Caenorhabditis elegans: one gene and its partner. The protein of the gene in region 2 interacts with the protein of the main gene of each other region in a pairwise test. Each region holds a gene or a part of one and is shown on either strand. Other genes may lie near its edges.

Region 1 (4,432 bases), on a different chromosome or scaffold from region 2:
GGTACTAGATTGTGTAACATACAATTGATGCGTACCTCTTCGAAAATATTTTACCGTAGTCTGAATTTGTACGTGATAAGCTCTCGTCAAAAACAAGAAACTACATACATTGCTGCTCACAACGAAATGCGTTCAATTGAAATTTCTATTTGCCAACCGGGAGCCTCCAGACGGTTAAAACTGTCAAATGATGTGATTCCGTATGACTCATCAATGTCTGACCCAGAAATCCGGTCCTCTCGGAGTTTCTAGTTGTTTTCCACGTGTTCCACGTCACAATTGAATTCACATGGCAACCAGCTGCATTGCATTGGTAAAGTGACCATTAAATTCAATACGAAAAGTAAGCAAATACTTCAATTGTGTGAGTTTTAGTTGACCAACTTTTCATCAGGTTCATGAAGAATGTGAATGAAAAATGTTTTTATTCACTGTGAAGTAGGGGAGATCAAGAGATAAAGAACAGGCTAGATTTGGAGATACGAAAAGCGACAAACATGTGTTTTTATGTAAGCAGTCTTCTCCGAGCATCTTTTTATAGATGTTCGAAATACTTGAAGCGAAAAATTGCGCAACTTGAACTAAACAAGATAATCAGTGCGGTTGCTGCTATTTATGGATGATGATTGCTCGCGAGAGGGGGTCAGCAGGGACGACATTCCTACAAAGGGCATAAGGAGAATGAAAAAGTATGCGGGTAGAAGAAGAGAGCAAATGAGCATTGAGAGCATACTGTATTTAGTGATAAGCAGAGATTTTTGATATCTAAGCTAAGAGTGTCCGGAACATTTGGAAACTAGAAGCATTGGTCATGGAATTTTATTTAGAAAAATTGAAAAAGGAAGTCACACACATAATAAATTATGTGCATCTAAAACGTTAAAAAATCCAAGTATTGTACCGATTTTAATATTTCCAGGTACTGAAAGATTTTGAAAAATAAACAATTTTAGCAGCGTTTTTTGAATTGTCTTTGCTTTACATTGAAAGCTTATATCTCGGTTCTCTTTGGTTTTATCAAAAAATTGTCAACAAACCAAATGCGTGTAAAATGTTTATCTATATATCAATAGTAGAACATTTTTTGATATAACTCATGACAGTCGAGATATGAGTCGTCAAATTAGAGCAGTCGTGGTAAAAACTTTTAAAATCACAAATCAAGAAAGATAATTAAATTATTTTTCGCTGTGTGACCATTTTTATTTCAGCATGCGCTTCAAAAAACTACCAAGTTGCGTTATCATATTCTTTGGTTTACTCCGAAAATTTACTGGTAGCTATATAATTTACCAAAGCTGAACAAATAATCCACTCATTTGGTGAATAGTTCTAAAGTATACAAGCTTCAAGTCATACAGGTTATTTCAAAACTACAGTACCCTTCAAGGCTTTGAGGACCTCCGGTTTCCGAGTATGAATTATGAAATGTTTTTCGTCTAGTCCTCATTGTCTCAATCACTATCTCCAGGCAAAAAGATGAGATCTCTTGAGGGTACTGGACTCTCCCTCAATCCTCCGATTCAAGGAGTTGTTTCGAACGCTTAAGCACTCCTGGCTCCGCGCGGGGCGGAGTCGAAGTGTGCCGCGACCGACCGACCGCCGGCGCCTTCCTCCCCATTACCCCCACCCATCTCCCGCCGCTATATAAAAGGTACGCAGTGCCATCTGGACAGAATACAGAGCCTTCGAGTTCTAGTCCTTCTCCTTCTTTTACCCAACTCATTATTCCCCACATTTTTGTTTCAATGGCAGCCCGCAGAGCAGCTTCGATTCTTCTTATCGCCGTTCTGGCCCTCTCCAGTACCTTCGTCTTCGCTGACGAAGAGACTGTCAAGGTAAATTTCTTTTTTAAATACTACTTTTGTACTTTTGAACATTTATTTAAGCATTCAGTCATACTTTCCCTCTTTTATGCTCACTATTATTTTCGTGTTTTCTGTGTACCTAACCATTAGGACACGGCGCGGATGTGGGTATTGAATGCACAATGTGCATGAATAGGAATAATGAATAGGCTTTAGGAACAAGCTGGTTATGATCATGATCTTATTGATCATGCCCAATTGAAGCATAGCGTCTAGTACATCAGGATCCAAATTTCAGCAATCATTTGTTTAAATAACTTTTCAATTTTAACTATGATGCTTCCTTATGACTGTCTAGACTCTTATTTCATTTATTCCCGTCATTGGCCATTCCTTGAGACCTCACTAATACAAAGTGAAGTGGTCATTTCAAGGGGTCAGCTGGCTTCTTCTCCTGCTCTTTCCCCTCCGATAAAAACAGGAAAAATGATAGTGTAAACAAAGGGCGCATGAAGATTCTCTCCGCGATTGCCCCCCAGAGTGTGCGCGCAAAAATCTAAGCACACTGTCTTTCCTTACGGTCAAACAAAAGAGCCCTAAATAACTGCAGAACGAGACCGGATTGGCGTTGTCGCGTGCCAAGAGACAGTGCTGTTCATCCAACTCCAACTCATGCTGCGGAAACAACAACAACGTGCAATGCATCCCAGTTTGTCTGCAACAGTGCCAGAGCTCATGCCAAACATCCCAATGCATCCAACAATGTCAGCCAGCTTGTAACCAACAGTGCGGAGGAAACAACCAAGTCATCCTTCTTCCACAAACCAACAACTGCAACCAATGCCAACAACAATGCATCAGCTCCTGTGCCACCCCAATCTGTGCTCAATCCTGCAACAACCAATGCTCCAGCTCTTGCGGAAACTCTGCTCCACAAATTGTCGTTCTCCAACCACAACAGAACCAATGTGGATCATGCCAGTCTTCCTGCCAACAGACTTGCCCAACATGCAACTGCCAATCTGCTTGTGCTCCAGCCTGTGGAGGAAACAACAACAATCAGCAAATCATCGTTGTTCAACAGGACAACTCATGCTCATCCAACTGTAACAACCAGTGCTCCAGCTCCTGCAGCACCCCAATCTGCATTCAGTCCTGCCAATCCTCCTGCCAACAGGCCTGCCAGCCAACCTGCCAGCCACAATGCATGCCATCCTGCTCGTCTAGCTGCACATCCAACCAGGCTCCAATCGTCATCGTCGCTCAACAAGGAGACTCATGCTCCAACTCGTGCTCCAACCAGTGCCAGTCTGCCTGCCCAACTCCAATCTGTGTCCAACAGTGCAACTCTCAATGTCAATCCCAGTGCTCGAACTCTTGCTCCGGAAACAGCTGCAACCAACAACAGGTAATAATATTGATTTTCCATTAATTCATGAATCAATATTACAGGTCATTGTCCTCCAACAACAAGACAACTGCCAGAATCAATGTCAATCTTCCTGCATGAACACTTGCCAATCATCGGCTACCGTTCTTCAATGCCAGCCAATTTGCCAACAAACCTGCCAGAATACCTGTCAACAAGCCGCTCAAATCGTTGTTCCATGCCAATCGAGCTCTTCTGGATGTGGATGCTCATCTGGATATTCTCAATGCGGTGGATCATGCTGCCGTCGTCGTTAAGCATCCCCTTCCCTGAATTCTATGAACGAATTCTTACCGTATCCGCGTTTTCTATGCGACAACTTCTGTTTTCGTTTCCCCATCCCACTTCTCACATAACTTTTATTATGACATTGTCTGTAAATAAGTGGTAGCCATGTGAGGTGTCTAATTATTTTATTATTGTTCCCTTCTTTTTCATGATGTTTCATTGTCCTTGAGTTTCGACAATAAATTATTCTAATTTAAGAATTATACAAGAAATGTTTTCATTCGGCAAAACATAAAATAAAAAATCACATATATTCACAGTAATCAATCATCATATAATAAATTGTATTGTTTAGTCCTGTTTGAATAGTCCTCGAGCTGAGCGACGAAGGGTTGAGCGACGCTGAAAAAAAAATTTAAAAAGAAGAAAAACAAATGTATCCAAATTAACAGTTTTTCTAAATTTATTATTGATTTTATTCCGAATTTTGCAAATATAAACGAAGTTACTGAAACAAATTCGAATTTTCGACAGAAGTTTCAAAATTTTCGCGTTTTTTATTCATTGGTTTCTCTTGATTTTTTCCTTGATCTTTTTTAATTGTCACCCAAAAAAAAGTCGTCGAAATTTCAAAATTAGCCTAGAAATGAGTAATGTAGCATTAGTTTCAACTCTTTTTTTTCGGAAAACTTTCTGAAAAAATGACAAAGTATCGAATCAAACACTAAAGAATTTTTCAATTAATGAATGAAAATTCCATAATTCGATAGAAAATTAAAAATTTTGAAAAAAGAGCACATGCTTGTTATAAAAATGCACATACCCTTACAGCACCAGCTTTCATCATTGAGCTTCGTCGTTTTTTCTTTTTCTCTGGAACATATTCCTGCACATCGGAATCTTCTTCGGCAATATTCATAGCTTCCAAGATCGAACCGAGAGGAGTAATCGGAATTGGACCATGGGA
Region 2 (8,056 bases):
AGTTTTTCGGGTGAAAATTGAAAATTTGAGCATAGCTTCCGCATCTCCGAGTGACAAATGTGCTCTATTGTCAAATTGTTGGCAGAAATACGGTATTTATTCACATTTTCAGCCCAATTTAAGGTTGAAAATGTGAATAAATACCCGTTTTTACTGCAATCAATACGAGTAGAGGCACATAAGTCACGAAATTTTTAGAAATTAAGCTTTTTAGGGATTTTTTTTTTTGGAAATTTCGGAAATTTGATAAATTCGGCGAAAAATTAATTTTTCTCGAGAAATATTTGAAATTTGAGGAAAACCCTAAATTTTGGGAAAATTTATCACAAATTTCAGAAATTGAACTCGGAATCTATTTAATTTAATAGGAAATTCAAAAAATTCTCGGAAAAAACCGTGAGGAAATGGCTGAAAATCAACTTTTTGCAATTGGTGGCCTAGAAATTCAAAAAGTTCGGCCACCAAAATTTTTTTAGCTGAAAACATGCGAGTCGGGGTTAAAAATAGTGAAAAATCCGATTTTAGCACCGAAAATTGTCAAAAAATGCCAAAGTTTCTGGAATTTTCGGTCATTTTTCACGTTTTATCGATTTTTTTTGAAAATTTTAATGTGTTTCCCCTTTTAAAATCTCGAAATTTCAACAAAAACGCCCTAAATTCGACTGTGGCCTAGAAATTTCGAAAAGTTAGGCCACCATCTGTTTTTTCGGCTGAAAATGCTAAAATTTCCGCTGATGTAGTGAAATCTGCACAATTTTTGCCATTTTTTGGAGAAAAATTCGAGTTTTTTCGGAAAAAAATCCAGTAAATTCAGGAATTTTGCTTTTTTGTGTGGAAAATTCGAAAAACATCCATCATTTTCGATTAGTGGCCTAAAAATCGTAAAAGTTCGGCCACCTAGAGATTTTTTGTTGGAAAAAACGGTGTTTTGCAATAGAAAATGGGTTTATTCACAATTTTCCAGCGGTATTACCGGTTTTTTCCTATTTTCAGCGTAAAAATCGATATTTACCAAGTGCTGACAGCAAATTGGCCGCATAATATCGAGAATCTGCGACGTTGAACTTGGAATCCGGCTGTTTTTGCATTAAAGTGCAGAGATCTCCGTCTGAAATTGAAAGAATTGAAGTTTTCAGCTTTTTTTTCGAGATTTTTCAGCTAAAAACTCACATTTAGCATATTCTAGAACAAAATATAAGCTCTCCGAGTCTTGAAAAGTCGCGTATAACGTCACAATTCCGGGATGAGCGTTTTCTTCACGAGAAATCAACGCCAGCGCCTCTTTTTCACGATGAATATACGGAACCTGGAATATTCATCGATTTTATTCACATTTCCAATAAAAATCGGGTTTAAAAACCATTTTATTCTTCAAAATCAGCCTTTTCAGGCAGATTTTCAGCGCAACTTCCGGATTTTCGTCATTTTTGGGTTCTTTTCGACGTGCCAGGTAGACCGTGCTGAATGAGCCCTCGCCGACTTCTTTTTCTACCTGAAAATTGAAAAATAAAATTTAAAATTTGAGAAAACCGGTTGAAAAATACACTTACTGAATAATCCGCTAAACATTTCATATTTGAGCCTTCCCGGCGCGCATTTTGCGGATTTTTTAGATTTTCCGGCACCTCCATGACACGTAGAACCTGAATTTTTAGAAAATTATCGAAAAAAAATTGAGAAAACGAGAGAAAATCGATTTTTTAAGCTGGAAATTGATGAAAAAAGCTTAATGTCGTCAAATAAAATGCCCTGGTACGCAATTACACCGGAGCCTACGCGCAAATGCGGACTTGCTGCTTTTGGCGGTAGTTCAAATAGGATTTTCTCGAGAAAAACACTTTTTGATGAGAATATCCGATAAAGAAGCCATGATAAACACAAACTTTGAACTTTTTCTCGATGAACTATTGATTTTTCCGTATTATTTACACACGTGCACATCATCTTGTCAATATGAAGCCCCCGTGGCACTGTGTGAGGTTGACTCAATATTTGCTTAGCGATAAAAATACTGAAAAAGGTGCTGCGGCAACTGATAACGGACACTTTTCCGAAAAGTTATTCTCGAATATTCTAATTTTCTTGTGAAATACTACCTGACTATGCAGAACTTTGTTTTACCGGTAAGTTTCGCGAAATTTTTGAATTTTCGCCGCATGCAAGCGCGCTCCAATGTGAATATTTCAAAATTTTCAAATGAAATATTGAAAACAGTAAAAAATCAATAATTATGGCGAAAAAAAAACCAAAAATTCTGAAAAATCGTGAAAATGCGCTCCAATGCAACTATCGCAATTTTTCACGATATCGCAATACACGTGGTGCCAGTTGTCCCATTACGGTTTGATCTACAAAAAATGCGGGAACTTTTTGCCCAAAAAAAAATGTGACGTCAGCACGTTCTTAACCATGCAAAATCAGTTGAAAACTCTGCGTCTCTTCTCCCGCATTTTTCGGAGATCAAACCGAAAAAAGACATTCTGACACCACGTTGCAACACAAAAGCAGTAGAAATTGTTGTTGCAGTTGCAATTGCGCTCTGACGCAAATTTTCGACAAAGTCAATAATTTCCAGACAATGCCGTTCCGTCGGGACATTCCAGCCGGCTTTCCAGTCGGGACCACATTTAAATTGACCGGAAAACCCTACGAGGACATTCAGAAGAGCATTTTCGTGATTTTCAACACAAATAATGGAGATCAGGCTCTTCGCGTCGAGCTTGTGCTCGTTCAACCGTCTAAAGTGATTCAGAATTTTTATTTGGCTGATCGAGTAAAATTTTAGCGGGAAAAAAGACTATAAATCGATGATTTTCCGTCCGAAATTGGAAAAAAAATCTATAACTTTCAGAAAAATTGGAGAAAAATCAATAATTTTACCGAAATTGGAAAAAATCGATATATCACAGAAATTTTTTTTTCGAAAAATTCGATAAATTCTGAAAAAGCTGTCATAAAGTCGATGTCACCTCGAAAGTGATTTTAAAAAATCAATACTTTTCCAAAAAATCACTAAAAAATCGAAAATTCTCTAAAAATCAAAAATCAATATCGATTTTTCCAGCTAAAAATCGATTGCACCGTATCACAAAAAAAGTCAACCGCCGTCGAAACTCTTGTCGTCTGCCCGTTAAATCAACGGGCGGTGCTGAAAATCATCACCTCCCAGCACTCGTTCCAGGTGAGAATTATTGATTTTATTGATTTTATTGATTTTTCCGGGGGCGCGAAAAATCGATAATTTCAAAAAAAAACTTTTTTTCGAAACCCTTCCATGATTATACTTAATTGAAAGCTCGTTTTACGCTTAATCTGATAATAGTAAAACTATGGGTCTTAACACGAATATCGTCGTGTTACTGTAGCTCCAAACTTTCTTTTTTTCCAGATTTTGTTCAACGAATCCAAGGTTGCAGATTTTGTGCACCGCGTCGACCCCACACTAGTGAAATCGGTAATTTTAGCGAAAAATCGATAATTTTCATAGTTTTTGAAATTCAGGTACTTGTCAGCGGTCCAATGATCACCGAAGATGTCACTATTACCCCTGGAACATCCCGTAAGTAGTGATTTTCTGAGAAATCGAACAATTTTTAGGAGTTTTGAGTGCGAAATTCGAATTTCTCTTCAATTTTTACTACTGACAATGTATTTTCCGCTCAAAACTGGTTTTTCTGCATTTTGTCGTAAGATCTGGTGTGTGGTGGTGTTTGCGTACTTTCGAAGCTACAGTAACCCAAAATTTTTAGAATTTGAGCCACAAGCTCAGAAAAAAAGTGTCACGGGGTGAAATTACGCGAGGAATTCGAATTTTTTATTGATTTCACGAAAATTTCAAGTTTCCAACTACAAAACCAAAAATTTCCAGAACCCCTTCCATCCTACGAACAAGCAACATCTCCACCGGTAGAAATGATGGCTAATATGAATCTGGGAACTCCTCAAAAAGTCCCACTTCCGGATAACGAGCCATTCCCGCCAGCGCCAATGCCTCAGCCAGCCGCCCCGCCTACGCAGATCACTATGACTACGGTAGGTACAGTAATCCTTGGAATGGCAATTTATATATTTATCGCACTGTGGAAATTAAAACAAAAAGAAAAATGCAAAAAACATCGCAAAAAGTGATAAAAAATGGGGAAAGTTGGGTGAAAATAGACAAAAATACAAACTTTTCAACGTTAAACTGATGGCTTAGAAACCCAAAGCTAGGCCACTAGTTAATATTGATTTTTCTAACAAAGATAACATTTTTCCACACATTTTAAGCCAAAAATCAAAGAAAAATCTTTAAAATTGACAAAGTTATGGATTTTCGAAGATTTTCGAAAATCCAAAGCTTCGAAAAATTCAATTTTTGAATTTTTGAAAGATTTTTAGAATATATTTCAGGTTTTCCATACGATATTCAAGTTCACCGTGCCAAGACCTTCAATTTGACACCCATCATGACTATATTCCGATCATTTTGGGTCCCACCGCGAAAACTACAGTACCCCTGGGGATTTTCGTGGTGGGATTCAAAGTGAGCGGAACCTAGTCCTGATGGGTTGAATGTGAAATTTTAGGTTTTAGAAGAGTTTCGCTAAGAATTTGAAAAAAAAAATCAAAAAATTAAGATTTAAAAAAAATTTCGATGAATTTTCCTTCTTTTTCAACCAATTTTCCCCAGTTTTTTTTTTGCATTCCCCGTAGTTTTTCAAGCTCTATGATATGAAAATCATCCCAATCTGAAAAAATGTCAGGCTCCCGGCTCAACAGGCACCACCTCCTCCTCTTTCTACTTTACCGGCGGCTCGCAGGGATTCTCGAATCATCCGTACCCACTTCCGGGATTAATCGATAATTCGACACATGCATCACAGCAGAATCCCGTTGGAACATTACCACCACAAACTTCCATGCCAAGTGCACCGCCTATCACTCAGGCTCCGCCGACTCCGGCGGGAGCTGCGTACACCTCGCCATATACCAGCGTCCCTGTAGGTTTTTTGAAATTTTTGAGTGAAAATTTGAGTTTTTCGAGTTTTTCGCTGCTAGGAACTTTTTTTTCGTAGATTTTAGAAGCAGCAAATTCCAAATTTTAAACCCTGAAAAATTGAGATTTTCAGATGCCACAGCCTCCGTCTTCCGTTCCACTTTCGTATACACCTGCGCCAACTCCATCGGTACCATATACAGTGGTAAATGTTGAGAAAATGAGAAAACTTTGAGAATTTTTGAATTTGAAACAAAAACAATAATTTTTGAACTTTTTGAAAAAAAAATTTGGAAATTTTTTTTTTTTGAAAATTTTTTTCCATCAAAAAATTCTAAAAATTACCATTTTACGCTGAAACTCAAATTTTTTTGCCGAGCTCACAGAGAGCTTCAATTTGACACCCATATCGGCTATATTCCGATCATTTTGGGTACTGCCACGAAAACTACAGTACCCCTGGGGACTTTCGTGGCGGGACCCAAATTGAGCGGAACCTAGTCATGATGGGTTTCAAATTGAAGCTCTTGCTGTCCTAAATTCTAACTTGTATATATATTATGAAGCTTCTAGTAAAAAAAAACTTGAGAAATAATTTTCTTTAAAAACTTTTTTTTTTCGAAAGTTTTCGAAAATCCATAACTTTTTTAGTTTCTGAGAAATTTACTTGAATTTTTGAATATTATGTTCAAAAAATGCTGAAAACCCGCAGAAAAATATATTTAACCATTTTCATCTCGAGACTACAGTAGCCCAGGAGTTTTCGTGGCGGGACCCAAAATTTTGATTTTTTGTTCAAACCCCTATCTGCTTATACTTATTTGAAAGCTCTCCACGAGCAAAATTCAAATTTTTAGCTTAAAAGTCTATAACTGAGCTCCTAGAAAAAATTAAGGTTCATGAAATTTCCAGACCTACCCCCAATCGGCTAATTCAACTCCAGGAATTCCTCAGCCACTTCCCCAACAAATGTCACGTCAACAGGCTCCAATCTATCAAAATCAACAGCAAATGCCTCCGGGATACAATCCTTATCTCCAACAGCAACAGCAACAGATGGCAGTAATTTGAAAAAAATTTTAAAAAATTCGAAAAAAAAAATTTCAATTTTTTAAAAATGAAAATCAATAACTTTTTCGCTTAAAAACCTAAATATTTAACTCTAGCTCGTGGAGACCTTTAAAATGACACCCATATCGGCTAGGTTCCACCAACTTTGGGTCCCGCCACGAAAACTACAGTACCCCTTGGGACTTTCGCGGCGAGACCAAAAGTGAGCGAAACCTAGCCAATATGGGGGTGTCATTTTGAAGGTCTCGACGCGATAAACTCAAATTTCATAATTTCAAACACTTTTTCTTTAAAATTAAATAAAAAATTGGAAAAAGTAAAAAATTCCAAAAAAATTTTTTTAGGCCACCGTCCCAATGCCATATCCCTCAGGAGCAGCAGCAGTTCCAGTGTCTGCAATGGCACCACAAGTAGTACAGTACCCAACTACAGTAGTCCCATATTCGTATCCTGCCGTTCAACCGTATCCCATGTACCAACAGTATCGTGAGTTTTTTGTTGAAAAGAAAAATTCAAAATTCAACTTTTTTTTCAAAAACTTTTTATTCTGACTCTTTTTAATTCTAATATTCGTATTCAGCTCACCGAGAGCTTCAATTTGACACCCATCATGACTATATTCCGATCATTTTGGGTCCCGCCACGAAAACTACAGACCTCCTGGGGACTTTCGTGGCGGGACCAAACTTCTCTAAAATTGGCAAAATTTAAATATGATGATGTTTGGAGTAAGAGTTTGGCAAGTAAATTTTTGGAAAAATTTAGAAAAAAAAAACGATAATTTTTCGAGATTTTCGAAATTTTTCGAAAATCCGTAACTTTTTTAATTTTCAACATTTTCATGAGATTTTTGACATAAAAAATGCAGAAATTTTCAAACTCACCCGGAAAAATAAATTGCACCTACCAAACCTGCAAACTACAGTACCCCGAGACTTTTCGCGGTGGGACCCAAAATACTTTGCTACACGCGGAACATAGGCATGTTGGGTGTCAAATTAAAGCTCTCGGCGTACTAAAATCAAAAATTTGAATTTAGAAACTTTCCAGTTACTGTAGCAAAAGTGTAAGCTGTGTCAAAAATTCAATTTCCCGAAAAAAAAAAGAAATTTTTCAGCAATGGGCTATGGCTATCAACCAGAAGTCTACTATTACGACGGAGGACACCATCATCATAGGGTGAGAGAAAATCAATAAAAATCGAAAAAAAATCAATAATTTTTCAGCATCACCACCATCATTGCGACTAATTTCAAATTTGAATGATTATCGATTTTTTTAAAAAATAAAGCTATTTTCATAGAATTCGGAAATTAAAGGCTTGGACCCAAAATGTTCCAAAACTACCAAATTTCGTAATGAGACGTTCTGAACATTTTTCAAAAAACAGTTATGGCCGCTTAAAGTTTAGGAAAAAACTGTATATTTTTGGCTAAAATCTCAAATTTTGGCAACCGCTGAGACACTGAAAAGTTGAGATTTGAGCTAGAAATAGACCATTTTTCCAAACTTTGAGGGGCTTATTTTTTAACTTATTTTTGAGCCATTTTCAGACCGTCTCATAACGAAATTCGGTAGCCATAGATCATTTTGGGCCAAAGTATCAAAACTCCATCACTTTCTCGATGTAAACTGAGCCACCCACCCACAAGTCTGCTCCATTTCTGCGAATAGTGCAATTTATAACCATTCGTTATGACACTTTTAGGGCTATTTGCTAGGTACTGCTGTTGTTGTAGGTAGGTATGGTAGGCGTATTCATCTCCCGGGGGAGTGACGGGTGTTCTCCGACGGATCTCCTATCATTTTACATTTATCCTGGGCGACTGGTGGTTGCCTTTTGTTTTTTCTCTAGTCATTTTTTGCTGGTTCTGTGGATTCCTTTACGGTGAGTTTTTAAAAAAAGTATTTCGAATTTAAAGTTATTCTTGACATTTTCTAGAGACCACAATTCAATTGGTACTTGTGTATTATACCGTGTGTATTAATTGTATAGTTTTGCCGATC

Evidence for each region.
Region 1: the proteins of W04B5.3 (region 2) and abu-14 interact in a two-hybrid assay, tested with the Caenorhabditis elegans proteins (one large-scale study listed by BioGRID).

What each region holds. Positions count from the first base shown.
Region 1 is NC_003280.10:9,224,474-9,228,905, reverse strand, and holds abu-14 (Activated in Blocked Unfolded protein response), read left to right. Parts: upstream 1-1,691; 5' UTR 1,692-1,748; coding exon 1,749-1,838; intron 1,839-2,418; coding exon 2,419-3,216; intron 3,217-3,260; coding exon 3,261-3,494; 3' UTR 3,495-3,720; downstream 3,721-4,432. Other genes in the region: ZK1067.3 (uncharacterized protein), read right to left, coding at 3,817-3,867, 4,289-4,432.
Region 2 is NC_003281.10:2,416,561-2,424,616, forward strand, and holds W04B5.3 (Galectin), read left to right. Parts: upstream 1-1,987; 5' UTR 1,988-2,102; coding exon 2,103-2,123; intron 2,124-2,225; exon of another isoform or gene 2,226-2,246; intron 2,247-2,575; coding exon 2,576-2,743; intron 2,744-3,064; coding exon 3,065-3,181; intron 3,182-3,388; coding exon 3,389-3,454; intron 3,455-3,501; coding exon 3,502-3,559; intron 3,560-3,868; coding exon 3,869-4,032; intron 4,033-4,745; coding exon 4,746-4,982; intron 4,983-5,111; coding exon 5,112-5,183; intron 5,184-5,890; coding exon 5,891-6,040; coding exon of another isoform or gene 6,041-6,049; exon of another isoform or gene 6,050-6,393; coding exon 6,394-6,535; intron 6,536-7,166; coding exon 7,167-7,228; intron 7,229-7,275; coding exon 7,276-7,299; 3' UTR 7,300-7,352; downstream 7,353-8,056. Other genes in the region: W04B5.5 (non-specific serine/threonine protein kinase), read right to left, coding at 1,013-1,108, 1,171-1,306, 1,361-1,492, 1,551-1,631.